Anolis sagrei: one gene and its partners. The protein of the gene in region 4 interacts with the protein of the main gene of each other region in a pairwise test. Links are inferred from orthologs where the notes say so. Each region holds a gene or a part of one and is shown on either strand. Other genes may lie near its edges.

The links.
Region 1: the proteins of WASHC3 (region 4) and HSBP1 interact in binary tests that used the Homo sapiens proteins (3 or more experiments, as listed by UniProt). The two-hybrid records come from large-scale screens. The link is inferred for Anolis sagrei from reciprocal best matches to the Homo sapiens genes WASHC3 and HSBP1.
Region 2: the proteins of WASHC3 (region 4) and IFT20 interact in binary tests that used the Homo sapiens proteins (3 or more experiments, as listed by UniProt). The two-hybrid records come from large-scale screens. The link is inferred for Anolis sagrei from reciprocal best matches to the Homo sapiens genes WASHC3 and IFT20.
Region 3: the proteins of WASHC3 (region 4) and synaptonemal complex central element protein 1-like interact in binary tests that used the Homo sapiens proteins (3 or more experiments, as listed by UniProt). The two-hybrid records come from large-scale screens. The link is inferred for Anolis sagrei from reciprocal best matches to the Homo sapiens genes WASHC3 and SYCE1.

What each region holds. Positions count from the first base shown.
Region 1 is NC_090028.1:22,965,885-22,973,577, forward strand, and holds the start of HSBP1 (heat shock factor-binding protein 1), read right to left. Parts: upstream 3,013-7,693; 5' UTR 2,951-3,012; coding exon 2,906-2,950; intron 1-2,905. UniProt on the Homo sapiens protein: Negative regulator of the heat shock response. Negatively affects HSF1 DNA-binding activity. May have a role in the suppression of the activation of the stress response during the aging process.
Region 2 is NC_090031.1:25,687,718-25,694,638, forward strand, and holds the start of IFT20 (intraflagellar transport protein 20 homolog), read right to left. Parts: upstream 3,018-6,921; 5' UTR 2,955-3,017; intron 1-2,954. UniProt on the Homo sapiens protein: Part of intraflagellar transport (IFT) particles involved in ciliary process assembly. May play a role in the trafficking of ciliary membrane proteins from the Golgi complex to the cilium.
Region 3 is NC_090022.1:193,715,826-193,722,700, reverse strand, and holds the start of synaptonemal complex central element protein 1-like, read right to left. Parts: upstream 3,013-6,875; 5' UTR 2,951-3,012; coding exon 2,896-2,950; intron 2,035-2,895; coding exon 1,972-2,034; intron 553-1,971; coding exon 493-552; intron 1-492. UniProt on the Homo sapiens protein: Major component of the transverse central element of synaptonemal complexes (SCS), formed between homologous chromosomes during meiotic prophase. Requires SYCP1 in order to be incorporated into the central element.
Region 4 is NC_090025.1:171,511,936-171,519,000, forward strand, and holds the start of WASHC3 (WASH complex subunit 3), read left to right. Parts: upstream 1-4,053; 5' UTR 4,054-4,176; coding exon 4,177-4,227; intron 4,228-7,065. UniProt on the Homo sapiens protein: Acts as a component of the WASH core complex that functions as a nucleation-promoting factor (NPF) at the surface of endosomes, where it recruits and activates the Arp2/3 complex to induce actin polymerization, playing a key role in the fission of tubules that serve as transport intermediates during endosome sorting.

The DNA of each region.
Region 1 (7,693 bases), on a different chromosome or scaffold from region 4:
CATTCCTCAGTTTCACCATCATAAAATTAATGGTACCCACACGAATATATGTATCTATCTTTATATTCAAAGTCAGTTTTCGTATGTCTATTTTCCAAATTGAGCCCAACTTTCAGACAGCACTGTAACTATCACCAACAATGGATATGAACCAAGCTTGGGACGCTGAACCCTATGACCCACTTTACGTCCTGGTCGGGTTTGGGGGAAGGTGGACTACGGAAAGTAGGATTTGTAGTCCTGCAACTCTCTTACAAGACCACTGCGACTGTCACAAATGATGGACATGGACCAAACTTGTTGCACAGACCCCCCATGACCCATCTCACATCCTGATGAGGTTTGGGAAAAGCCAGACCATGGATGATGGGATTTGCAATATCTTCACCCACTTTCAGAGACTTCTGTGACCAATGATGGGCCTGGACCAAACTTGGGAAACAGACACCGCATGGCCCACTTTAGGTTTGGGGAGGGTGGACTATGGATAATAGGATTTGTAGTCTCTTACAAGACCACTGCGACTGCCACAAATGATGGACCTGGACCAAACTTGGTACCCAGACCCCCCATATGTTCTGGTGAAGTTTGGGGGAACACAGAGAGATATATCCATTTATTGTCGAAGGCTTTCATGGCCGGAATCACTGGGTTGTTGTAGGTTTTTCCGGGCTATATGGCCATGTTCTAGAGGCATTTTCTCCTGACGTTTCGCCTGCATCTATGGCAAGCATCCTCAGAGGTAGTGAGGTCTGTTGGAACTAGGAATATGGGTTTATATATCTGTGGAATGACCAGGGTGAGACAAAGGACTCTTGCCTGCTGGAGCTAGGTGTGAATGTTTCAACTGATCACCTTGATTAGCATTTGATTACCTGGCAGTGCCTGGAGCAAACTTTTGTTGAGAGGTGATTAGATGTCAAGGGAACCACTGACCGCATAGGGATGCTGATCAGCAAACACAACATACAAACTATCTACAGACCCACCAAGAAAATCCAACAAATGCTCCATTCAGCAAAGGACAAGAGGGATCTTCTCACTTCTGCAGGAGTCTACCGTATACCATGGCCATCTGTCAGGGGTGATTTGAATGCAATATTCCTGCTTCTTGGCAGGGGGTTGGACTGGATGACCCATGAGGTCTCTTCCAACTCTTTGATTCTATGATTCTATGCAGCTGTGGACAAGTCTACATAGGGACCACCAAACGCAGCAGAATTGCCCAAACACGAATCAAGGAACATGAAAGGCACTACAGACTACTTCAACCAGAGAAGTCAGCCATAGCAGAACACCTGATGAACCAACCTGGACACAGCATATTATTTGAGAACACAGAAGTGCTGGACCACTCTCACAACCAACATGTCAGACTACACAGAGAAGCCATTGAAATCCACAAGCATGTGGACAATTTCAACAGAAAGGAGGAGACCATGAAAATGAACAAAATCTGGCTACCAGTATTAAAAAACTCTAAAATTACAACAGCAAAACAACAGAGAGGAAACAAACAAGGACATCTAATCACCTCTCAACAAAAGTTTGCCCCAGGCACTGCCAGGCAATCAAATGCTAATCTGGGTGATCAGTTGAAACATTCACACCTAGCTCCAGCAGACAAGAGTCCTTTGTCCCACCAGGTCATTCCACAGATATATAAACCCATTTTCCTAGTTCCAACAGACCTTACTACCTCTGAGGATTTATTTATTTGTCGTGTCAGGGCAACCAGTCAATTATATTACATTTCTAACAGAACAAAGCAAACAAGCAGACAAAATACAGAATTTGTGAGTTTGGTAGTTGATTAAATGTCCTTTGGCCACTTGGAGTGCTTCTGGTGTTGCCGCAAGGAGGTCCTCCATTGTGCATGTGGCAGGGCTCAGGGTGCATTGCAGCAGGTGGTCAGTGGTTTGCTCCTCTCCACACTCACATGCCGAGGATTCCACTTTGTAGCCCCGTTTCTGAAGGTTGGCTCTGCATCTCGTGGTGCCAGAGCGCAGTCTGTTCAGCACCTTCCAAGTTGCCCAGTCTTCTGTGTGCCCAGGGGGGAGTCTCTCATTTGGTATCAGCCATTGGTTGAGGTTCCGGGTTTGAGCCTGCCACTTTTGGACTCTTGCTTGCTGAGGTGTTCCAGCGAGTGTCTCTGTAGATCTTAGAAAACTATTTCTAGATTGAAGTCGTTGACGTGCTGGCTGATACCCAAACTGGGGATGAGGTAGAGATGTCTCTTCCTTGGTCCTTTCACTATTGGCTGCTACTTCCTGGCGGATGTCAGGTGGTGCAATACCGGCTAAACAGTGTAATTTCTCCAGTGTTGTAGGCTACCAGTATTAAAAAACTCAAAATCAGAAAAAAAACTACAGAGAGTAAACAATCAGGCACATCAAATCACCTCTCAACAAAAGATTCCCCCAGGCACTGCCAGGCAATCAAATGCTAATCAAGGTGGTCAGTTGAAACATTCGCACCTAGCTCCAGCAGGCAAGAGTCCTTTGTCCCACCCTGGTCTTTCCACAGATATATAAATCCTTTTTCCTAGTTCCAACAGACCTCACTACCTCTGAGGATGCTTGCCATAGATGCAGGCGAAACGTCAGGAGAGAATGCCTCTAGAACATGGCCATATAGCCCAAAAAAACCTACAACAACCCAGATATATCCATAGATGGATAGATAGATAGATAGATAGATAGATAGAGATAGATAGATAGATAGGGATCCCAAGAGGCCTACATACTCCCAGACGACCAGAGGCCTCCGTTCCTGCCTGTGTCTCCATAGCAACCAGGTCTCCGTGGCGACCGGGTGGCCCCGCCCCCACCCTCCCTCCCTCCCACCCATTCGGCCTGCCCGTCCCGTCCCCATGGCAACCCCGAGACCCCCTCCCCCTTCTCACCACAGCGGTGAGTTCCTGCACGGTCTTGGAGTCTGCCTCCGCCATGGCACTGTCCTCTCTCGCTTCCGGCCTCTGCCCCGCAGTCCCCGCCTCGCTCTCGGGAGATCTCGCGAGATCCGGGAAAGGGGGAGGGAGGGGGGAGGGAGGAAGAGAGCGGTGGTGCATTCTGGGAAGTTAAACATGAGCCAACAATGTGATGTGGTGGCAAAAAAAGCCAATGGGATTTTGGCTTGCATCAAGAGGAGCCTAGTGTCTAGATCCAGGGAAGTCATGCTACCCATGCTCTATTCTGCTTTGGTTAGACCACACCTGGAATATTGTGTCCAATTCTGGGCACCACAATTCTAGAGAGATATTGACAAGCTGGAATGTGTCCAGAGGAGGGTGACTAAAATGATCAAGGGTCTAGAGAACAAGCCCTATGAGGAGCGGCTTAAGGAGCTGGGCATATTTAGCCTGTAAAAGAGAAGGCCGAGAGGAGATATGATAGCCATGTATAAATATGTGAGAGGAAGCCACAGGGAGGAGGGAGCGAGATTCCATCTGAACATTAGGAAGAAGAACTTCCTGACTGAGAGAGCTGTTCAGCAGTGGAACTCTCTGCCCCGGAGTGTGGTGGAGGCTCCTTCTTTGGAAGCTTTTAAACAGAGGCTGGATGGCCATCTGTCAGGGGTGCTTTGAATGCAATATTCCTGCTTCTTGGCAGGGGGTTGGACTGGATGGCCCATGAGGTCTCTTCCAACTCTTTGATTCTATGATTCTAAGCAAGGCAAATCTACCTGCATCTGCAGAACCCAATGCATGCCTGTCTCTCTCTATCCGTCACAACAAAAAAGGCCGTTGCTAGGTGGAGTGGCCCTCTGAGATGTCACGGGAGTAGCTGTTCCTGGCTGAAGTTGCCCTCAGGGGTGTCACTAGGAAAATGACGTGTGAACGAGGAGAATAAGCAAGAGGAGCTGTTGCTAGATGAAGTGTCACCACCCGCGGTGTCTCTGGATTGCCTGTTGCTGGGTGGAGTGACCCTCTAGGGTGTCACTGGGAAAGGAAGGTGGCGCCTGTGAGAAGAAGGGAAGGAAGGGATGGCTACTAGGTGCAGTGGCCCTCCGTAATGTCACTGGATTGGCTGTTGTTAGGTGGAGTGGCCCGCTGAGTTTTCACGGGACTAGTTCTTCCTGGGTGAAGTGGCCCTCGGGGGTGTCACTAGGAAAGGGACGCGTGAACGAGGAGAAAAGACAAGAGGAGCTGTTGCTTGGTGACGTGTCCCCCGCGGTGTCTCTGGATTGGCTGTTGCTGGATGGAGTGACCCTCTAGGGCAGCGTTTCTCAACCTGGGGGTCAGGACCTCTGGGGGGGTCGCGAGGGGGTGTCAGAGGAGTCGCCAAAGACCATCAGAAAGCACAGAATTTTCTGTTCTGTGTGGGAAGTTTGGCCCAATTCTCTCATTCAGAAGGCTCTTTGATTGTAGATGAACTATAAAGCCAAGCAACAACAACTCCCAAATGTCAAGGTCTATTTTTCCCCAAATGCCACCAGTGTTGACATTTGGGCATATTGAGTACTCGTGACAAGTTTGGTCCAGATTCATCACTGTTTGAGTCCACATTGCTCTCTGGACGTAGGTGAACTACAACTCCCAAACTCAAGGTCAATGCCCAACAAACCCTTCCAGTATTTTCTGTTGGCCGTGGGGAGTTCTGTATGCCAAGTTGGGTTCAACTCCATCGTTAGTGGAGTTCAGAATGCTCTTTGAATGTGGGTTAACTATAAATCCCAGCAACTACAACTCCCAAATGACAAAATCAACACCCCCCACCCCCCACACACATCACCACAAACCCCATTAGTATTCAAATTTGGGAGTATCGGGTCCAGTGAATGAAAATCCATCCTGCATATCAGATATTTACATGGCGATTCATAACAGTAGCAAAATTACAGTTATGAAGTAGCAGCAACAAAAATAATTTTATGGTTGAAGGGGTCACCACAGCGTTAGGAACTATATTAAGGGGTCGCAGAATCAGGAAAGTTGAGAACCACTGCTCTAGGGTGTCACTGGGAAAGAAAGGTGGCGCCTGTGAGGACAAGGGAAGGAAGGGACGGTTACTAGGTGCAGTGGCCCTCCATGATGTCATCAGATTGGCTGTTGCTAGGTGAGGTGGCCCTCCACGATTTTGCTGTACCCCCCTTTGTAAAATGGACCCTCTCTAGCTCCCCCTAGTGATCTCCGCTCGGATAATGGAGCAGTACCAAAAGGTGATGTGTATGAGCAGGTTAAACTGCTGAGCTGCTGAACTTGCTGACTGAAAGGTCAGCGGTTTGAATCCGAGGAGCGGGGTGAGCTCCCGCTGTTAGTCCCAGCTTCTGCCAACCTAGCAGTTTAAAAGCATGCAAATGTGAATAGACTTGTGTCCGACTCTGGTGCTCGCTTCCATTTCTAAGCCAAAAAGCCGGCGTTGTCCGTAGACGTCTTCAAGGTCCCGTGGCCACTGGCAGGACTGCATGGCCATGGGATTTGTGTTGCTGGGATTTGTAGTTCACCTACATTCAATGAACATTCTGAACTCCACCAACAATGGAATTGAACCAAACTTGGCACACAGAACTCTCATGACCAACAGAAAATACTGGAAGGGTTTGGTGAGCATTGACCTTGAGTTTGGGAGTTGTAGTTCACCTACATCCAGAGAGCACTATAGATTCAAACAATGATGGATGTGGACCAAACTGGCCACAAATACTCAATATGCCCAAATGTAATACTGGTGGACTTTGGGGAAAATAGACCTTGACATTTGGGAGTTCTAGTTACTGGGATTTATAGTTCACCTAGAATCAAAGAATATTCTGAACTCCACCAACAATGGAATTCAACCAAACTTGGCACACAGAACTCCCATGACCAACAGAAAACAGTAGAAGGGTTTGGTGAGCATTGACCTTGAGTTTGGGACTTGTAGTTCACCTACATCCTGAGAGCACTGTGGACTCAAACAATGATGGATCTGGACCAAACTTGGCACAAGCATTCAATACACCAAATATGAACACAGATGGAGTTTGGGGGACATAGACCTTGACATTTAGGAGTTGAACTTACTGGGATTTATACTTCACCTACAATCAAGGAGTATTCCAAACCCCACCAACAATGGAATTGGGCCAGACATCCCACACAGAATCCCCATGACCAACAGAAAATACTGTGTTTTCCGGTGGTCTTTGGTGACCGTTCTGACACCCCCTTGGTGACCCCCCCCCCCCCCCGGGTCTTGACTTCCCAGATTGAGAAATGCTGCCTTAAGGCCATCCAGTCCAACTCCCTTCACCAGGGCAAGAAAACATAATCAAAGCCCTCCTGACAAAGGGCCATCCAGCCATTCACACACACACACACACGGGCACAATTCAAGGTGCTGCCTTGTAGCCTATAAAGCCCTAAACGGTTCTGGCCCCACTTACCTCTCCGAACGCATCTCCACCTATGAACCGACTAGAACATTAAGATAGTCTGGGGAGGCCCTGCTCTCGGTCCCGCCTGCATCGCAGGCGCGTTTGGCGGGGACGAGAGACAGGGCCTTCTCAGTGGTGGCCCCTCGGCTATGGAATGCCTTACCAGCAGACATCAGACAGGCACCTTCGTTGCTGGTGTTTCGGAGAAAGGTCAAGACTTGGCTTTATGAACAAGCGTTTGGTTAAACAGTGCAACCGAACATAGGAAGACGGTAAATGGAACATAGGAATGGCACAAGGATTATGAGAACGGATCTGATTTCACAGAGGCGATGTTTGATTTGTTAATTGTTGTTGATTGATGCTATTGATTTTGTTGTTGTAATTGTTGTGTTTTAATTGCATTGACATTGTTGTGATAACCTGTACCATGTAAACCGCATTGAGTCGCCTATATAGGCTGAAAAATGCGGTATACAAATAAAGCAAATAAATAAATAAATAAATATGTATATGACAGATGCAGTATCAAAGATCTGAAAGGGACCTCTAAAGAAGGACTATGATATGTTGCCTGTTCCAGAGGAGGCAAACCAGACAATCTCCACATTAACACTGGCAAAGAAACAGCAAGAAATACTGGTTACCCACAAGCATAAAAAAATTACATATATTAGAAGCCAGCACTTTCTCATTATGTTATTTTCCAGACAACCAGACTGGGCCACAGCAACGTGTGGCAGGGGACCGCTAGTATATATATAAAATGCTCTGCATAATAAGTACCTTAAAAATAAAAGAACCAATGAACGAAATCACACCAAAGTTGGCAACAAAACGTCTCACAACACAAGGAGTGACCATCACTCAAAAATTATGAGTTGTAGTTGCTGGGATTTATAGTTCACCTATAATTAAAGGGCATTCTGAATCGGGGCAAACTTCCCACACAGAACCCCCATGACCAAAAGAAAATACTTAAGGCCATCCAAACCAACTCCCTTCATCAGGGCAAGAAACGTAATCAAAGTCCTCCTGACAAAGAGCCATCCAGCCATAGATATAGATAGATAGGATAGATAGATAGATTTGATTCACACACACACACACACAGATATAGTATCATAGATTTGAAAGTGACCCCTAAAGAATCATACAATCAAAGAGTTGGAAGAGACCTAATGGGCCATCCAGTCCAACCCCCTGCCAAAAAGCAGGAATATTGCATTCAAATCACCCCTGACAGATGGCCATCCAGCCTCTGTTTAAAAGCCTCCAAAGAAGGAGCCTCCACCACACTCTGGGGCAAAGAGTTCCACTGCTGAACGGCTCTCAC
Region 2 (6,921 bases), on a different chromosome or scaffold from region 4:
ACACAGAGAATTTAAAATGGTGAATAATGCGTGCAGAGCCCAGTAAGGTGGCCTTCTGCAGCTGGCATATGAAATTTTGTCAGCGCAGATTATGTTTAAGTGCAAGCCAAGGTCTGTAGGCACTGCACCCAGTGTGCCAGTCACCACTGTGACCACCTTTAATAATAATAATAATAATAATAATAATAATAATTATTATTATTATTATTATTATGAACTGGACACACGCAGAGCCGGATGATTTGGAAAGAAAAACAAGAAAGCTGATGACAATCCACTCCTCATGACACCCGCGTAGTGATGTTGACAGATTTTACCTGCCCAGAAAATCAGGAGGCAGAGAGAGGGCTTCTGCAAGGGAAACAAATAGTAGAAGAAGAGAAACACACACTGGCAGATGATGTGAAAGGCAGTCAAGAACCAACATTGAGGAAAGTTAGTAGTAAACTGCTTCAAGTGCAAAAGACAAAGAGGGAATACTGTAAAAACACAATCCAGAGCAGAAGAGAAAACTGGCAAAAGAAGGCTCTCCATGCACAATTCCTGGCATAAATTGAGAGCCAAATTGACAAAGTAAAATCATGGCTGTGGCTCACAAATGGAACTCTGAAAAAGGAGACAAAGGAGGGCCTGATTCTGGCAGCCCAAGAACAAGCCGTTAGAACCAAAGCCATCAAAGCCAGAATTGAAAAGTTGACGACAGATCCCAAGTGTAGACTCTGCAAGGAAGCAGATGGAACAATCGATCCCATCCTCAGCTGCTGCAAGATCACGCAGATAGACTACAAGCAGAGGAACAACACCGTTGCTCAGATGATCCATTGGAACTTGTGCCACAAACACCATCTTCCTGTGACAAAGAACTGGTGGGATCACAAGCCGGAAAAAGTTACAGAGAATGAACACATCAAACGCCTCTGGGACTTCTGGATTCAGACAGACAGAGTTTTGGAGCATAATACTCCTGACTTCACGATCATGTTAAAAAACAAAGTATGGATTGTCGATGTTGCAATCCCAGGCGACAGCAGGATTGAAGGGAAACAACTGGAAAAGCTGATACGATATTAAGATTTAAAGATCGAACTGCAAAGACTCTGGCACAAGCCAGTCAAGGTGGTCCCAGTTGTGATCGGCACACTGGGTGCAGTGCCTAAAGACCTTGGCCTGCACTTAAACACAATCGGCGCTGACAAAATTACCATCTGCTATCTGCAGACGGCCACCTTACTGGGATCTACACGCATTATTCACCGATACATCACACAGTCCTAGACACTTGGGAAGTGCCCGACGTGTGATCCAATTCAACAATTACAATATACCTTGTAATATACTTACAAGGTATATATTACATATTGTATGTAATATATACCTTGTAAGCCGCTCTGAGTCTGCTGTGGACTCATCTTGTTGTGTTTCAAATAATGATGATGATGATGACGATGATGATAATAACCAGACATCACGATTGTGGAAAAGAAAATGTTATTGATGTCGCCATACCAGGTGACAGTCGCATTGAGGAAAAACAACACGAAAAATTCAGCCACTATCAAGACCTCAAAATCAAACTGCAAAGGCTCTGGCATAAACCAGTACAGGTGGTCCCAGTGGTCATTGGCGCACTGGGTGCCATGCCAAAAGATCTCAGCAGGCACCCAGTGCGCCGATGACCACTGGGACCACCTGGAGTGGTTTATGCCAGAGCCTTTGCAGTTCGATTTTGAGGTCTTGATAGCGACAAAATCACGATCTGTCAACTGCAAAAGGCCACCTGACTTGGATCTGCGCGCATCATTTGAAAATACATCACACAGTCCTAGATGCGTGGGAAGTGTTTGGTTTGTGATTTTGTGATACGAAATCCAGCACATATATCTCATTTGCTGTGACATACTGTGGTTTGGTGTCAGTATAATAATAATAATAATTCATACCCCACCTTAATAATAATAATTTATAATTTATTATTATCTTTATTTATACCCCACCTTTCTCCCCATGGGAGAAATGTTATAATGTAATGCAATGTAATAATAATATGATATTATAATTATATATTTATATTACATCATCATCATTTAATAACTTATTAATCGCCCTCCATCCGAGAATGCTCCATTCTAATATTACTAATAATATTACGATATAGTGGTATGGTGCAATATAGCAATGTTCAATGCTGATATTGTACTATGCTAATAATATAATATATTGTATGTATGTATATATATACATATATATCTTATAAGCCAATCTGAGTCCCCTTCGGGGTGAGAAGGGCGGCATATAAATGTCGTAAATAAATAAATAAATAAATGGATCTGGGTTGAAGTTGGCCCACATTCACACCTGGAACAACTTTAAAAACTGGCAAGAATTGATAGAGGACGATGGGAATTGGAGTCGATTCAAACCTGTCATGGTCACCCATAATAGATCTGGACCAAACTTGGTACGCATGCCCTCCTTTACCCAACATAATGGGTTCTTCCCTACAGTGAGTGCCTACTGCCCTCAATAGGGATGTCAGACTGCATCACCCATCATCCCCAGATGCCCTTGTGCCTTGGGAAAGGTAGAATTGAGCTTTGTGGCCTCCCTTTCCCAGAATAAATGGATCCTTCTCTATAGAGGAGGGGTTCCTAACCTTTGGTCCTCTAGGCCTTTTGGACTTCAGCTCCCACAATTCCTAACAGCTGCTAAGTTGGCTAGGATACCTGGGAGTTGAAGTCCAAAACACCTGGAGGGCCCAAGGTTGGGAACCCCTGCTCTATAGAGACATTGGACTGCACCACCCATCAGCCCAGACCCCTAGAGCCTTGGGAAAGGCTGGAATGGGCTTTGTGATCTCCTGTTCAAAGCCTGGATGGGTCCTTCCCGGCAACCAAGGCCTCTTGTATTCAATTGGGGGCTTTGGACTGCACCCTCCACCATCCCCAGGCTCTTACCTGCCCTCCAGGCCCCCTCCCCGCGCTGCCACGGCGACAGCATCAGCCCCGCCCCATTGGAACGTACCATTCGTCCAATGGGGGGAGGAGACAGAGAATCCAAAGGAGCGCTTTGCATTGTGGGAAGTGTAGTTCCCATTGGAAGAGTCCAAATCAGAAAGAAGGGGAAGGGGGATCGAGAGGCCCCCTTTGTCCCAATGAATCATAGAATCATAGAATCAAAGAGTTGGAAGAGACCTCATGGGCCATCCAGTCCAACCCCCTGCCAAGAAGCAGGAATATTGCATTCAAATCACCCCTGACAAATGGCCATCCAGCCTCTGCTTAAAAGCTTCCAATGAAGGAGCCTCCACCACACTCCGGGGCAGAGAGTTCCACTGCTGAACGGCTCTCACAGTCAGGAAGTTTTTCCTAATGTTCAGATGAAGCTTTGGAGTAGAAGTGCACAGGATTTTTCCTATAATAATAATAATAATAATAATAAATTAATAATAATGGGTTGTTGTAGGTTTTTCAGGCTGTCTGGCCATGTTCCAGAAGCATTCCCTCCTGACGTTTCGCCCACTTTTATGGTAGGCATCCTCAGAGGTTGTGAGGTCTGGGTTGTTGTAGGTTTTTTCGGGTCTAGAGGCATACTCTCCTGACGTTTCGCCTCAATCTATGGCAGGCCTATTGGAACTAGGAAAAAGGGCTTATATATCTGTGGAATGACCAGGGTGGGACAAAGGACTCTTGTCTGCTGGAGCTAGGTGTGAATGTTTCAACTGACCACCTTGATTAGCATATAATGGCCTGACAGTGCCTGGGGGAATCTTTTGTTGAGAGGTGATTAAATGTCCTTGTTCGTTTCCTCTCTGTTGTTGTGCTGTTGTAATTTTAGAGTTTTTTTTAATACTAGTAGCCAGATTTTGTTCATTTTCATTGTTTCCTCCTTTCTGATGAAATTGTCCACATGCTTGTGTATTTCAATGGCTTCTGTGTGTAATCTGACATGGTGGTTGTGAGAGTGGTCCAGCATTTCTGTGCTCTGTTTCACCATTGCCTCACCACCAGCTACTTTCAGTGGGACAATGAGTTCTATGAACAGAAAGATGGAGTAGCTATGGGGAGCCCCCATAGCTAATTTGTACATGGAACACTTTGGAAAACAAGCCCTGAAAACAGCAACAAAAAAGCCCACTATATTGAGACCCTATATTCAAGGGTCTGGAGAACAAGCCCTATGAGGAGCGGCTTAAGGAGCTGGGCATGTTTAGCCTGAAGAAGAGAAGGCTGAGAGGAGATATGATAGCCATGTATAAATATGTGAGAGGAAGCCACAGGGAGGAGGGAGCAAACTTGTTTTCTGCTTCCTTGGAGACTAGGATGCGGAACAATGGCTTCAAACTACAAGAGAGGAGATTCCATCTGAACATGAGGAAGACCTTCCTGACTGTGAGAGCCGTTCAGCAGTGGAACTCTCTGCCCCGGAGTGTGGTGGAGGCTCCTTCTTTGGAAGCTTTTAAACAGACGCTGGATGGCCATCTGTCAGGGGTGATTTGAATGCAATATTCCTGCTTCTTGGCAGAATGGGGGTTGGACTGGATGGCCCATGAGGGCTCTTCCCACTCTTTGATTCTATGATTCTATGACTCCCCCCTGGGCACACAGAGGACTGGGCGACTTGGAAGGCGCTGAACAGACTGCGCTCTGGCACCACAAGATGCAGAGCCAATCTTAAGAAATGGGGCTACAAAGTGGAATCCACGACATGCGAGTGCGGAGAAGAGCAAACCACTGACCACCTGCTGCAATGCACCCTGAACCCTGCTGCATGCACAATGGAGGACCTTCTTGCAGCAACACCAGAGGCACTCCAAGTGGCCAGATACTGGTCAAAGGACATTTAATCAACTACCAAGTTTGCAAAATTTGGGTTTTTTTTATCTGTTTGTTTGTTTTGTTCTGTTAGAAATGTAATACAATGGTACGGTTGCTGATGACACAATAAATAAATAAAAAACCTCTCAACAAAAGATTCTCCCAGGCACTAAGAAGCCACACCTAAAAACTGTCAGGCCTTCAAATGCTAATCAAGCTGGCCAATGGCAACATTCACACTTGCCTCCAACAGACAAAAGTTCTTTCTCCCACCCTGGACATCATTCCACAGATATATAAACCCATTTTTCCTAGTTTCCAACAGCCCTCACAACCTCTGAGGATGCCTACCATAGATGTGAGCGAAACGTCAGGAGAGAATGCTTCTGGAACATGGTCAGACATCCCGAAAAACCTACAACAACCCAGTGATTCCGGCTATGAAAGCCTTCGACAACACATTATTATTATTATTATTATTATTATTATTATTAATATGAAACATAATAAAATAAGTATATAAATATAATATAAAAATAAATATATAAATTATATATATATATATATATATATAATATGAAACATTAAAAAATAAAAATCATACAATAAATATGAAACATAATAAAAATACATTCCATTATTGCTTTGAAAAATTTTAAGAAATAATAATGAAGCCCTTTGGTATAATTTTCCATTAAAATATTGTAAAACCATTAAAATATTGTAAAAGTATTGTATTTCCCATTCAAATATTGTAAAATATTTGAGGATCCCTCAAAGACATCAAAGTGTCTGTGCGTATTTTTCGTGCTTTTAAATATATATATATAACATGTCTTTATTAATGTTTGAAAAGAAAAGCAGAGGGCCGATAAAGTGGATTTGAATGGCGCTCGATAGCTCTGCCTTCGACTCCTTTTGCCTGGCTGGGGAGGAAGCGAGGGAACGAGGCGGATGACGTCATACGTAACGTCATCCTCGTCCGTTTATGATTGCGTAAGGAGCGCTGCGACGCGATGGCATGCCGGGATTTGTAGGCGGAAGTTTCTGACTGGCGAGGGCGGCCTGTTGCTGGAGGCTAGAGCTTCGAGCTCCGCCCTTCGGTTGGGCTGGGGACGCGGAGGGCGCGCCGACCCGCTCGGGAGACGGTTCAGTTCAGCCCGGGGAGTTTCGGAGGCCTCGGAGAGCGACGGCCGCGACCCCTTCGGCGTTTTGAGGAAGGAAAGAGGCGGCGGGTGAGGAGGACGCCCAAAGCGAGGCGGGCGGGCCCCGGAGAGCGGGAGGGAGGGGAGGCATTAAAGGGTGGGATTGATTTTGTGTTTGGTGGGTCAGTGCCTGGAAAGGAAGTGGAGCGGGCGGGCGGGGATAATTGATTTTGGAGCCCTGTTCCATTTTCAGGCAAGGTTAGAAAAGGAGAAGAGGAAGGGTATATTAGAGGTTCTTTAATAGGGACAGGTGGACGTTCAAGAGGGAGGACTTTAGATGAATGCACAACAGGTAGAACTTTAGGTGCATGTCCAGCAGGTAGACCTTTACATGAATGCACAACAGGCAGAACTTTAAGTGCATGTCCCAACAGATAGAGCTTAGGTGGATGGTGAGCTTTGGGTGGATGTCCAACAGGTAGAACATTAGGTGAATGTACTAAAGGTAGAGCTTTAGGTGGATGTACCAATGATAGAGCTTAGGTGGATGGCGAGCTTTGGGTGAATGTCCAACAGGCAGAGCTTTGGGTGAATGTACCAAAGGTAGAGCTTTAGGTGCATGTCCAACAGGTAGAACTTTAGGTGGACGTCCAACAGGTAGACCTTTAGATGAATGCACAAGAGGTAGAACTTTAGGTGGACGTCCAACAGGTAGACCTTTAGATGAATGCACAAGAGGTAGAACTTTAGGTGGACATCCAACAGGTAGAGCTTTAGATGAATGCACAACAGGTAGAGCTTCGTGTGGATGTCCCAAAGGTGGATGGTGAGCATTGGGTGAATGCCCAACAGGTAGAATTTAGGTGCATGTCCAACCCGTAGAATTTTGGGTGGCTGTTCAATAGGTAGAGCTTTAGGTGGATGTACCAATGATAGAGCTTAGGTGGATGGCGAGCTTTGGG
Region 3 (6,875 bases), on a different chromosome or scaffold from region 4:
CAGAAGTTGCAATCTGAAAAAGTCTGAAGAAGTCCACATCTGAAAAAATTGACTGGGGATATTATGTACAATCATGCAGGAGGGCCATCCAGGGCTATGCTTTATCTATCCTTACTATAAAGTCTATTCAGTATAATTTGAATAAGGGAACAGAGACTAGAAAAATATTAATTACAAATATGATCCTCATTGAGTTATAACATATGTGTGTAGGAGGAGATGGGAGGAAACTATGCATTCAGGAATGGAACAGGAGTAAGAAGAGATACCTCAAAATGTTGGTTTTGCTTCTTTCTTTAAAATGGGGGAATGGCATAAGGATTGCAGATTACTCTCTTTTTGGAAACCACATCTGGGAACATTCAGCTTTTGCACTGCAAGAGCCATCGCGATGTGCAGACCTGGTAACCACTGCTACAAATATAGCTTACTTAGCAAAGGCTTAATTTTGAGATGTAAATAATATAGTTAATCCCTGCCTTTTTCTTTTACCTTGCTGCAATGTATTGATCCTTTTAACTAGGTCTTCAATTCTTGGCTCCAAACTCTCGACTATAAAATCAAGTAGAAATCAAATGAAAACTGAATTATACATGCTATGGTTAAGGAAAAAGCAATACATTAAAATACATTAAAAGTTACAGTTTGTACCAATCTCAATGTCAAAGTCACTTTGCCAACTGAGGTGAAAGGAACAATGACACACATCTTCCTTCCAGGTACAACGGCCAATCAAACAGATAGTAACATCTTTGTATAGTCTAAGGCTTTCATGGCCGGAATCACTGGGTTGTTGTAGGTTTATTTGGGCTACATGGCCATATTCTAGAGGCATTCTCTCCTGACGTTTTGCCTGCATCTATGGCAAGCATCCTCAGAGGTAGTGAGGATGCTTGCCATAGATGCAGGCGAAACGTAAGGAGGGAATGCCTCTAGAACATGGCTATAGCCCAAAAAAACCTACAATAACCCAGTAAAATCTTTGGCACTTGCAATGTAATGACATCCTTCACCACACATGAAGGTACCAGGCTAGCATGAGCAGTGCTAGCCACAGAGTGCCTGGACTCTAAAGCTCTGTCCTCCCAACATTGTGATGAAACTCTTTACCTTATAGCACCTACTTCCTAAGACAACTATAATGGCTAATAGAAAAATACTCTGATCTTGCCCTCACATATAATTGTATGTTATTTATCAAGGGCCAGTATCTAACTCAGAATCCTTATCACAAGCAATATAAATAAAACTCTAATAATTTTTATACCATACTTCTTGTTTCTCCCTAGATCAACTACTAATTTTTCTTCCAAGAACTTTCATCTGACCTCAGCCTCCATTCCATTATATTTTTGCCACAGCCCCTAAACAACGTACCACTTTCCCTTCTACTGATTTCTGCTCAAATCTGTGCTTTCTTGCTCTCTGTTCAGAAGCCAAACATTAATTTTCTAAGAGCCACATGGGACCCATTAGCCACTGCTGACTTCTAAACAATTTTCAAGTCATTATATATGTATTCACCATGCACAAAGTGGTGTATGTTGTCCGTGAAGCACAAGATAAATGATGCAACATGATGTTTGTATGAGTCTCTTGGGCTAAATGAGTTGCCTCTTACCAGTGTACAGGCATACATGGCAAGGGCAGATGCTCTAGTAGGACTATATGATTAGGCAGATGGCAGAGTGAGATGGCTGTTTTGGGGGACAGATGCTGAAGCAGAGAAGCCATCACAATGCATTAGGAGAGAGTCCTGTACCATATGGCATCCTCTGTGTGCCACATAAGCTAGCCTGCTGCCTGTTTCCCCCAGATGTGGTGGCCGGTTATTTTATTTCAGCCAGTGTTAAAAGTGTACATGGGCTGTGCAGATAGTAAGGGATTGGCATGAAGGACAACACTTCTTCCCATTCCTTTACGATCCGACACCTGAACATTACTCTCGTCATCTTTCTAAGTTCAAAATACCATTCTGCATTTGTTTCACAAGTGACAGTATCTCCTCCATTTTTGATGAAAAGTCCCAGGGATCTGGAGAGAGAGAAAAAGCAGAAACAGAATTTATTGTTGTCACCCAATTTTTTCTTCAACCAGACACATTGAAATCTAGGGATCGTATAGGCTTTGTATAACTTTGCTTATACAGGAGCAAGTAGCTTCTGGTGTGAGAGAATTGGCCATCTGCAAGGACGTTGCCCAGGGGACGCCTGGATGATTTGATGTTTTTATCATCCTTGTGGGAGGCTTCTCTCATGTCCCCGCATGAGGAGCTGGAGCTGATAGAGGGAGCTCATCCGCCTCTCCCTGGATTCGAACCTGCGACCTGTCGGTCTTCAGTCCTGCCGGCACAGGAGTTTAACCCACTGCGCCACCGGGGGCTCGCCCTTCTCAGTGCAATCCATCTGTAATATTGGAAATTGTGGTCTACTTCATATTGCTATGAGGCTGAGAACCACACTGTAAAGAATGAACATAACAATAATACTTTTATTAAATTCCAAGGACCCGAGCAACTGAGGGCACCTTCAGGGCCTCTGTTTTCTACAGTTGTTTCTGTACCCCGGAGCGACTTGGCAGTGCCCAAAATATGAAACTCTCTTTCTACATGTGTTCACCTGCTTCTTAATTATAATTTTCGTGAAAATGAATAATGTCCTTCTAGTTCAGGCATGGACAAACTTTGGCCCTCCAGGTGTTTTGGACTTCAACTCCCACAATTCCTACTGGCTGTGAAGTCTTAGCTCTTATATTGGAGTTGCTAGCTTTTAAATTCCTGGTCAGGTGACGGGGCCCAAGGAGGAGAATATGGCCACCAGTTCTGAATACCTTCTCTAGTTCCCATGATGTGTATTTAGGTTTCTATTGTGTATTTCTCCAGTTGTACAGTCTCACCGGGATCATTTCCCTCCATAGTGATGCTACGATTTTCTCCTTCAGCTCCAGCCATTTTCCATCCCCAACCCTCTTTGCTGTTTTCCCGCCTTTTTCCAACTGTCGCTTCTCAGCATTCTTCAGAGAGCAGCCGAGGCAGGGCTCCTCCAAGGAGGGAGGGAGGGAGGGAGGGAGGGAGGAAAAAGGAAGGAAGGAAGGAAGGAAGGAAGGAAGGAAAAAAAGAAAGATCGAAGGAAAGAAAGAAAGACTGATGGAAGGAAGGAAGGAAAAAGGAAGAGGGGGGAGGAAAAAGGGAAGGATAGAAGGAAAGACTGATGGAGGGAAGGAAGGAAAAAGGAAGAGGGGGGAGGAAAAAGGGAAGGAAGGAAAGATGGATGGAAGGAAGGAAGAAAGGCAGGGAGGGAGGGAGGGAGGATGGAAAAAGGGAAGGATGGAAGGAAAGAAAGAAGGAAGGACGGAAGGAAGGACGGACGGAAGGAAGGAAGGAAGGAAGGAAGGAAGGAAGGAAGGAAGGAAGGAAAAAGAAAGGTGGGGGGAAAGGAAGGAAGGGGAAAAACGAAGGAAGGAAGGGAGGGAGGGAGGGAGGAAAGAAATAAGGGAGGGAGGGAGGGAGGAAAGAAGGAAGAGGGGAAAGGAAGGAAGGAAAAAGAAGGGCGAGAGGGAAGAAAAAAGGAAGGAAAAAAGGAAGGGCGGGAGGAAAGAAAAAAGGAAGGAAGGAAAAAAGGAAGGAAAGAAATTAAGAAAGAAGGAAAGAAAGAAAGAAAAAGGAAGGAAGGAAGGGAAAAAGGAAGGAAAGAAGGAAGGAAGGAAGGAAGGAAGGGGAGCCGTGGGCTTTTGGCAGCACTTATTCACTGGAGGACATGTCGCTCGGCCCCTGTTTATCCCCTCAGTGATACATAGCCATTGTCTCAACATGGAGACAAGTAATCCCTGAGTTACATACATCTGACTTACATACAACTTGCATACTCCTAGTTAAGAATGGAGGTGAGACAACAGGAAGTGAGAGAAATCTTCCCAACGTTCCCTCAGGAAGAGTTATCACGGGGAAAAGGTTCCTTCACTGAAGCTTTATCCCCAAGCCTTGTTTCCACAACAAGCCAAATTCAATTATGAGAGGGACAGAAAAGGCGGTGAAATCTTCTGATCAGGGGCACAGACAGCAAAACGAACACCACAGGGATGTTCACCCTTTCCTATGCTATCCAAAGCTAGTATATACAAGTAGCCCTCAAGTTAGGTTCTGTAGGTTTGTTCTTAAGTTGAATTTGTATGTAAACTTGGCACGTTTTTAAAGTGTAAATCCAGGATCTATTTATCTCTCTATCTTTGGATAGCATAGGGAAGCGTTAACACCCTTATGACATTTGTTTTGTTGTCTGTTCCCGTTCAGAAGATTTCACCTCACTTTCTGTCCCTGTGATAGTTGGATCTTGAAAAATGTGGCTCGTGGATACAAGGATTGGTGATAAAGTTTCATTAGAGACCCTTTCCCCCATGATAATAAGAATTCCTGCAGAATTCTGGGATTTGTAGTTTAGGGAGGAGCCTTTAACAGACTCACTGTTAAAGTAGGTTTTAGTGAGATCACTACCAGGTATGTGTGTGTGTTAATAGAAAAAAAAACTTACCTTGGTGAATTACAATATACAGCTTGGGTGAATGGGATTTTTAAGGTCAGCCAATTTAGGCCACTCCCGAAGGGGTATAACTGGGAAGTGTTTGTAATTCAACTTTGGGCTTACTGAATGTTTGCTCCTGATCTTACCCTGCGTTCGCTCCTGGCTTATTTGATGCAGGCAAGTTTATCTTTTCTGCTTGTCTCCATGTCCAAGAAAGGAAAATTGGAAGATACATATTTTCTGTGGGAAAAATTGCATGAGTTAAGTGTAAGGACTATACTTGAGTGTGTTACTCCAGAGGGACTGTGACTGTATTGATGCAATACTGCAAGTTTGTGTTAATGTTACTGGTTTTTGAATTCTGCTGCAGAAGAGTAAAATTTATGTTTTCCTTCTGCTTGTGTTGCTCATATGAAAATACAAAAGGACTAAGTTTCGGTTGTTCTGCATACATTGTCAACCTGTGACAATGATTCAATCAATATGAAAAACTCAGTCTTCAATTACAGTTTTATGCCACGTGTTTAAATTATCCTTGCACATTGCTAGCCCCATCTCAAAGTTTATCTTGTGATTTTCAGGACACTTCTCTAGTATTAAATGCTGTTTTGGGGGAAATGTAAAAAACCAATAAAAATCTAGATCTATAAATTGCTAAGGGTTTATTATACATTTGGGAGCTACAGCATATACATACATTGCTCAAATATGGTAGCAGGATAACCTGGAGCAGGCAGATATTTTATTTTATTGCTAATACAAGTAAAAAATGGGAGCTATTATTATTATTATTATTATTATTATTATTATTGGAAAAAACAGAGGAGGAGGAGAATCACTAGAACTCTAGTTGATGTCTTGGCTCAATGAATGTTTGCCATCTTTTGTTGAAAACCACCCTTAGTCCTCCCGGGAAGATAGGGTGGATAATAAATAAAGGGTTTTTAAAAATATTATTATTATTATTATTATTATTATTATTATTATTATTATTATCTTCCTATTAAACAGAAATGAGCAGTTGTGGGTCTACAAGTGTATTGATATTGCATCTCCCACAATCCTTCACCACTGGCCATGCCAGCTAAGAGTGATGTGAGTTGCAAGTCAGTAATACCTAAGGAGCCTTACTTACTTAGGCGATCTCTCATTGTCAGAGTAGGATAATCCTCCAGGGTGGATCCGTAGGTGACTATGGAGTCTTATTCTTGATTTGCATCGTCTCCCACAGTGAGGGCACTGGTTTCCAGGTGGAAGGCGGTCCCAGTTGGAATTGGCTTGACGCGCCTCCCTTTTGGCACATTTCTCTCTTTCGCCCTCCATTCGTGCCTCTTCAAATTCTGCAGTACTGCTGGTCACAGCTGACCTCCAGCTGGAGCGCTCACATGCGGTATTATTGACAAGTCTTGCCTGTGTTGACTCTTAGCTTGGGGCAAGTAATAACTTCTTCAACAGATTTTAATAAACAGTGGTTTTCAAGGAATGCAACTTGAATTGGACAAGTCTCAAATTAAAAACCAAAGTTCATTCAAATATGTTGAAGAAGTTATTACTTGACCCAACCTAAGAGTCAACACAAGCAAGACTTGTCAATAATATCTCATGTGGTTATCTGAAAGACGTTCTTTACTGAACGTCACTCAGATAGCCAGGCAGTGCAGCTTTAGAGCAGCTGATTGATTAGGCAGCAGATAAGTAACACTGGACTGTATAAACAGGTGGATTAATAACACCCCCCTCCAGAAGGTATGCTAGTAATTGTTTTTGTAGGACATCAACATTTATTCACTTAAGTGAGTGCTGACAATTAAATAAATAGCAGATGATTGATTCAGTATGAGTACTTACAGTGGTTTCTGTGATGCAGTGGTTTCTGTGTTCGACTCAGGAAGAACACAGTCTGAATCCCCACTCAGCATGGAAACCAGCTGTACGCATACCATACTCTCTCAGAGGAAGGCAATGGCAAACCTCCTCCGAACAAATCTTACCAAGAAAAACCCATGATAAGTTTACCCTTTGAGTCACCATAAGTAAGAAGCAATACGAAGACACACAACAATGGCAAACAAGTAATATAACACAAGTGGAGACTGCAAAAATGCCCTCCTGTTCAACAAGATTGAATGTCAATTTTATGGTGACATGTTTTTAGAAAGACCTTTCTTTGGGACTATTTTCCCCTCTTATTAGCAGACTAAAGCAATCGGACAACATCTCTCTTTTTACTGCAAGCCAACCACTGAGGATTCCTGGAAATGAATGAGTGAAACACAATTGGTTCTGATTGGCTATGCAGGAGATCTTTGCTAAATGTTCTGGCAAATGGAAAAAGAAAAGAGACACATTCCAAGATAA
Region 4 (7,065 bases):
CTGATATTGAAGAAAGTGCATACAAAATTTCAGAACCAGTTTAAGACCCAGATGGTGATTACAAAAGCCACACAGAACTGATGCACATTAAGGGGTTTTTCATGTGCTTTTGTGGCAGTTTGTTGCCTGGCCTCAGCAGTTGGAAGCTAGCTGTGTGTATGTGCTTGCATATAATTCATTTATTTATATCCCGTGTAGCGAAATGTCTAGGTTTTGGGGTATGTTTATTAATATTGGGATATATGGGCTGGTTAGTTAGGGGGTGGCTAGAAGCCCAGGCCATGGTGACATAACTCCCCAGGCAAGAGAGCAAGGGCCGGAGCCAACTGCCACTGAAAAAAAAGAATGTTGATTTGAAAAGGGTCAGTTGGTGGCTGGATGAGCCCAAAGGATGGTTGCTTATAATTATGTGGAACTAGACCAAACAGTTTAAGCTCTAACAGGTAGTCAGGGAAAGAAAGGCTGCACTAAGTAGTGAGCCAGGTATTTGTTCTCCAGTGTGGAGTAGTTAAGAGTAAAAGCCAAATCTGAAGTAACAGGAGTGAGACTGAGAATAGTTTATAAGTCTAAACTGCAGATACTAAAGAGACAGAAGAAAATCTGTTGTTAAAAGTGTAACAGTTATATGTTTTTGGAAGAGTCAAGAATTAAGTGTAACAATAATAAGATAATATGTAACCGCCAAGCATTGTGAACCTGAGAAATCTTCAAACAAATGTTTATATTCAGTTCAGATTCTGAGAATTCAGGTTTATTTATTTAAGAGAAGATTACTCAAAAGAAAAGAAGTTGCAGATTTTGTGAAGTCAAAGATAAACTGGTTGCATTGGATTACACATACTAAAGTGAAATAAACAGGTGTCTTAGAAATATCCCTCTCATATAAGCCTCACCCCCAAATAAACAAAGCCTCATCCTCTACATCAGTGTTTCTCAACCTTCCTAATGCTGCGACCCCTTAATACTGTTCCTTATGTTGTGGTGACCCCCAACCATGACATTATTTTCGTTGTTACTTCACAACTGTAATTGTGCTCCTATTATGAATCCTAATGTAAACATCCGATATGCAGGATATATTTGCATTCACGGGACCAAACTGGGCACAAATATACAATAATACAACCAAATTTGAATACTGGTGGGATTGTGGAGAGGATTGATTTTGTCATTTGGGAGTTGTAGTTGCTGGGATAGTTCACCTCCAATCAAAGAGCATTCTGAAATCCACCAACAACAGAATTGAACCAGATTTGGAACACACACCTCCCATGAACAACAGAAAATATGGGAAGGGTTTGCTGGGCATTGACCTTGAGTTTTGGAGTTGTAGTTCATCTACATCTAGAGAGCACTGTGCACTCAAACAATGATGGATCTGGACCAAACTTGACACAAATACTCAATATGCCCAAATGTGAATACTGGTGGAGTTTGGGGAATATAGACCTTTACATTTGGGAGTTGTAGTTGTTGGGATTTATAGTTCACCTACAATCAGAGTATTCTGTTCTCCACCAAGGACAGAATTGGGCCAAACTTCCCACACAGAACTCCCATGACCAACAGAAAATACTATGTTTTCTAATGGTTTTTGGCGACCCCTCTGACACTCTCTCGCGACCCACAGAGGGGTCCCGACCCCCAGGTTGAGAAACACTGCTCTACATAATTGGTGGCAGCTTCATGAGTTACAGAGATACTTTCATTTCATCCCACTTTATCTCTCCAGATGGGAGACTCAAAGCAACTCACAATCAAAAATATTACAAAAATATACAAAAATAAAACTGTATCATTATATATTGTTTTATATTATCAGTAGTAATTATAATTAATATATTGTTATTATATGCCTTCCCAGAACAAGGACTCCCAAGCAATATGTTCCAAATGCACTTTATGAGAGAGTTAGTACTGTCTGCACGCCCACCTATCTTTAAAATATCCAACCTATTTCCCTGGACATGCCCAGCATTTTAAAATTTTAATTCTTACATTTGGCCCTACCACAGGTTTTTAATTGTGTCGTGTCATTATTGTATTGTTTTGCTTTGTTATGAGTTATTTATTGTTGTATTGTTGTTGTGTTTTGTGATGTATTTGGGCTTGGCCTCTTGTAAGCCGCACCGAGTCCTGCGGGAAATGGTCACGGGGTATAAATAAAGGTTTATTATTATTATTATTATTATTATTATTATTATTACTACTATATTACAATATATGATATTGTATTAGGAGTATATTACATTGTATTATATTATTATATAAAATATATTATATTATTAGCATTGCACATTAGTATTATATACTGCCATATGGTACTATACCACTATACTGCAATATTATTAGTATACCACAATATATATAATATGTGCTGTCGCATGCTGGGCCTGAAATAATGTCTGTTTACAGGACGTGCCTTCTGTATGCTCAACGGGACGCCGGGGTGCCTCAGCTGAAGGGTCCCTTAAATTTCCCAACACAAAGTTCTATTGAGGTTATAGACATCAATGCTAGGCTGTAGATCTGCCAAGCTGAAAGGTGTCCTTTAGTTTCTACACGAAGGCTGTAGGAACTGTCCTGTTGCCCCAGCAAAGGCTGGCTGTATTCCTTCAGCAAAAGCTGTGGAACCTTTCCTTTTCCCCCAGCAGAGCTGTGGATCTATTTCTTTACTCCCCAGCAAAAGCTGTGGAACCTTTCTTTTTCCCCCAGCAAAGCTGTGAGAAGTGAAGCTTTTGTGCAGGTGGGAAAAAGAATCCCACACGTTCTGCTTTTAGGCTTCAAACAGTGAGACTGAACAAAATCCCCCCTTCCCTCCAAAACCATGGGAAAAGGGGCGGGTCTAAAGATTAACAATGATTTTTCAGGTTGCTGGCCCTATGATTGCAACCTGAGGGAAGCTACCTTATTGCAAAATGCATGGCTTAAATAAATTCATGCAAACTAGCAGTGCAAGAAAAGGAATTCAAATCTCCTGGCACTGTTGTGCCAGCACATAATACACTACCATTATTATACTATTAGTATTATATATTGTTCTCTCTCAATCTCACACACACATATACATACGCCCGTATGTATACACACAAATTTATTTATTTATTTGCTTTACTTCTATACCGCCTTTCTCAGCCGAAATGGCGACTCAAGGCGGTTTACATAGTAAAGGTTAACACAACAACATCAAAAAGGCAATTAAAAACACATTATACAAACATATCAAGTCAAAAACAATCATTATCATAGACGTCTGCATTAGTTGTTCACACACTATTTGTTGTTCACACACAGACAGGCACACACTGAAATATAATTATGGGTAACTATATGCATATAGTACATGTTGTTGTTCATTCGTTCAGTTGTCTCCGACTCTTCGTGACCTCATGGACCAGCCCACGCCAGAGCTCCCTGTCGGCCGTCACCACCCCCAGCTCCTTCAAGGTCAGTCCAGTCACTTCAAGGATGCCATCCATCCATCTTGCCCTTGGTCGGCCCCTCTTCCTTTTTCCTTCCACTTTCCCCAGCATAATAGTCTTCTCTAGGCTTTGCTGCATATAGTACATAATTATGTTTAATTGGGATATACTGTGTGTATGTGTACACACACACACACACACAAATTTGGAATATTCAAACACAAAAATATATTTCCAAAGAATACAAATATTCACTGACATCCCCATATAAGTTCATATACAGATAGGTACACACTGAAATATAATTAAAGTAACTCAGGCCCCTTCCACACAGCTGAATAAAATCCCACATTTTCTGCTTTGGACTGGAATATATGGCAGTGTGGACTCAGATAACCCAGTTCAAAGCAGATACTGTGGGATTTTCTGCCTTGATATTCTGGGTTATGTGGACATGCCCTCAGGCACAACTCCAGAGCGCGTTCTGCAGATCACCTCAAGGAAAACGAGGCAGATGGAATCCATATGTATTTGAAAACTACTTTCCTAGAGACTTCCGGGTGTCAGAACTACAGTCCCCATGATGCAACGCGGCTCAGAGAGCGGCGGCTTCCGGTCTCGCAGCCCAAGCGCCTGAAATGCCGATGAGCCGGGTCAGGGTGGAGGGTGATCTCGCGATCGCTTCCGGGAAGAGGCTCTTTCGCTTCTCGAGGCGCTCTTCCGCTGGAGGAGGGGCCGATGAGCGCCTGCGGGGATGGACGAGGACGGGCTGCCACTCGTGGGTTCGGGCATCGACCTCACCAAGGTACCGGCGGCTGCAGGGCCCTGGTTGGCCTCTCAAGCCAGGCCTCGCCTTCCCCAGTGATGGATGGGCTCCGGGACTAAGCCAGGCAGGGTCTCAACCAGGCCTGGGCCAACTGGGGCCTTCCAGTAGGCTGTTAGGAATTGTGGGAGTTGAAGTCCAAAACACCTGGGGGGCCCAAGTTAGGCCAAGGCCTGGTCTATCATGTCAGTTGCCCTTCCTGTCTTTCTCTTTCTCCACTTGTTCATATTCCTTTCCTTCAGAGTCACTTTGATCTCATGTTTGTGTATTGTTTACAAGTGTTATGGCAGAAACACAATGCCCCATATTTATTGCAGGCTGCATTTTATCTTGTTGATACAGGCCTGAGCAAACTTCGGCCCTCCAGGTGTTTTGGACTTGAACTCCCACAATTTCTAACATCCTACTGGAGGGCCCAAGTTGGCCCAGGCCTGCTCTATCAAGTCAGTTTCCCTTCCCTTCTTTCTCCTTCTCATATTCCTTTCTTTCAGAGTCACATTGATCTTATGTTTGTGTATTGTTTACAAGTGTTATGGCAGAAATACAATGCCCCATATTTATTACAGGCTGCAGTTTATCTTGTCGATACAGGCCTGAGCAAACTTGGGCCCTCCAGGTGTTTTGGACTTCAACTCCCACAATTTCTAACATCCTACTGAAGGGCCCAAGTTGTCCCAGGCCTGGTCTATCAAGTCAATTTCCCTTCCCGTCTTTCTCCTTCTCATATTCCTTTCTTTCAGAGTCACATTGATCTCATGTTTGTGTATTGTTTACAAGTGTTATGGCAGAAACACAATGCCCCATGTTTATTGTAGGCTGCATTTTATCTTGTTGATATAGGCCTGAGCAAACTTGGGCCCTCCAGGTGTTTTGGACTTCAACTCCCACAATTTCTAACATCCTACTGGAGGGCCCAAGTTGGCCCAGGCCTGGTCTATCAAGTCAGTTTCCCTTCCCTTCTTTCTCCTCCTCATATTCCTTTATTTCAGAGTCACATTGATCTCATGTGTGTGTATTGTTTACAAGTGTTGTGGCAGAAACACAATGCCCCATATTTTATTGCAGGCTGCATTTTATCTTGTAGGTACAGGCATGGGCAAACTGGGGACCTCAAGAGAGATATTGACAAGCTGGAATGTGTCCAGAGGAGGGCGACTAAAATGATCAAGGGTCTGGAGAACAAGCCCTATGAGGAGCGGCTTAAGGAGCTGGGCATGTTTAGCCTGAAGAAGAAAAGGCTGCGAGGAGATATGATAGCTATGTATAAATATGTGAGAGGAAGACACAGGGAGGAGGGAGCAAGCTTGTTTTGTGCTTCCTTGGAGACTAGGACGTGGACAATGGCTTCAAACTACAAGAGAAGAAATTCCATCTGAACACGAGGAAGAACTTCCTGACTGTGAGAGCTGTTCAGCAGTGGAACTCTCTGCCCCAGAGTGTGGTGGAGGCTCCTTCTTTGGAAGCTTTTAAACAGAGGCTGGATGGCCATCTGTCAGGGGTGATTTGATTGCAGCATTCCTGCTTCTTGGCAGGGGGTTGGACTGGATGGCCCATGAGGTCTCTTCCAACTCTTTGATTCTATGATTCTAGGTGTTTTGGATTTCAGCTCCCACAATTCCTAACAGCCAGTAGGAAGTTGAAGTCTAAAACACCTAGAGAGCCCAAGTTTGCTATGTTATTACAGGTTTAGCATTCATTATCCTGAAATCCCAAATACTCCAAAGTCTTGTCGAAGGCTTTCATGGCTGGAATCACTGGGTTGTATGTGCTTGGCTAAAAACTGTCAGGCCATCAAATGCTAATCAAGGTGGCCAATTTGAACATTCACATCTACCTCCAACAGACAAGAGTTTTTTCTCCCACCCTGGACCTTCCATAGATATATAAACCCAATGTTCCTAGTTTCCAACAAACCTCACAACCTCTGAGGATGCTTTCCACAGATGCAGGCAAAATGTCAGGAGAGAACATGGCCATACAGCCCGAAAAACCTACAACAATCCACTCCAAAGTCCTTCGGCTGGGAAAGTGACACCTTTCCTTTCATAGAATTTGGGCCATCCAGTCCAACCCCCTGCCAAGAAGCAGGAAAATTGCATTCAAAGCACCCCTCACAGATGGCCATCCAGCCCCTGTTTGAAAGCTTCCAAAGAAGGAGCCTCCACCACACTTCGGGGCAGAGAGTTCCACTGCTGAACGGCTCTCACAGTCAGGAAGTTCTTCCTCATGTTCTGATGGAATCTCCTTTCTTGTAGTTTGAAGCCATTGTTCCGCTTCCTAGTCTCCAGGGCAGCAGAAAACAAGCTTGCTCCCACCTCCCTATGACTTCCTCAAATATTTATACATGGCTATCATGTCTCCTCTCAGCCTTCTCTTCTTCAGGCTAAACATTCCTGAAGAAGATGGTTCTTGATGGTTCAGTGTACACAAACTGTTTCATGCACCAAATTATTAAAAAAAAATGCATAAAATTACCTTCAGAATATGTGTATATAAAATATAAATGCATTTCTGTTTATACTTGGATTTGGTCTGAAAGGTGTTTCCTTCTGCTATGTGTGCATATACAAATAATAATAATAACTTTATTTGTTTCCCACCCCATCTCCCCAGAGGGACTTGGGGCGGCTTACAAGACAACAACTATACAAACACGAGCAGCATAGAATGTACAACAAAAATCAAAACAGTACAAATGTTTGCCAAAAGAAATAAAAAAAACCATAACAATTGAAGTTTAACATAAAACATGTAAAATCAAAATAAAATAAGCAGTAAGCATAGCCAAAGATTTAAAGTTTGAAACCATAGTATCCAAGT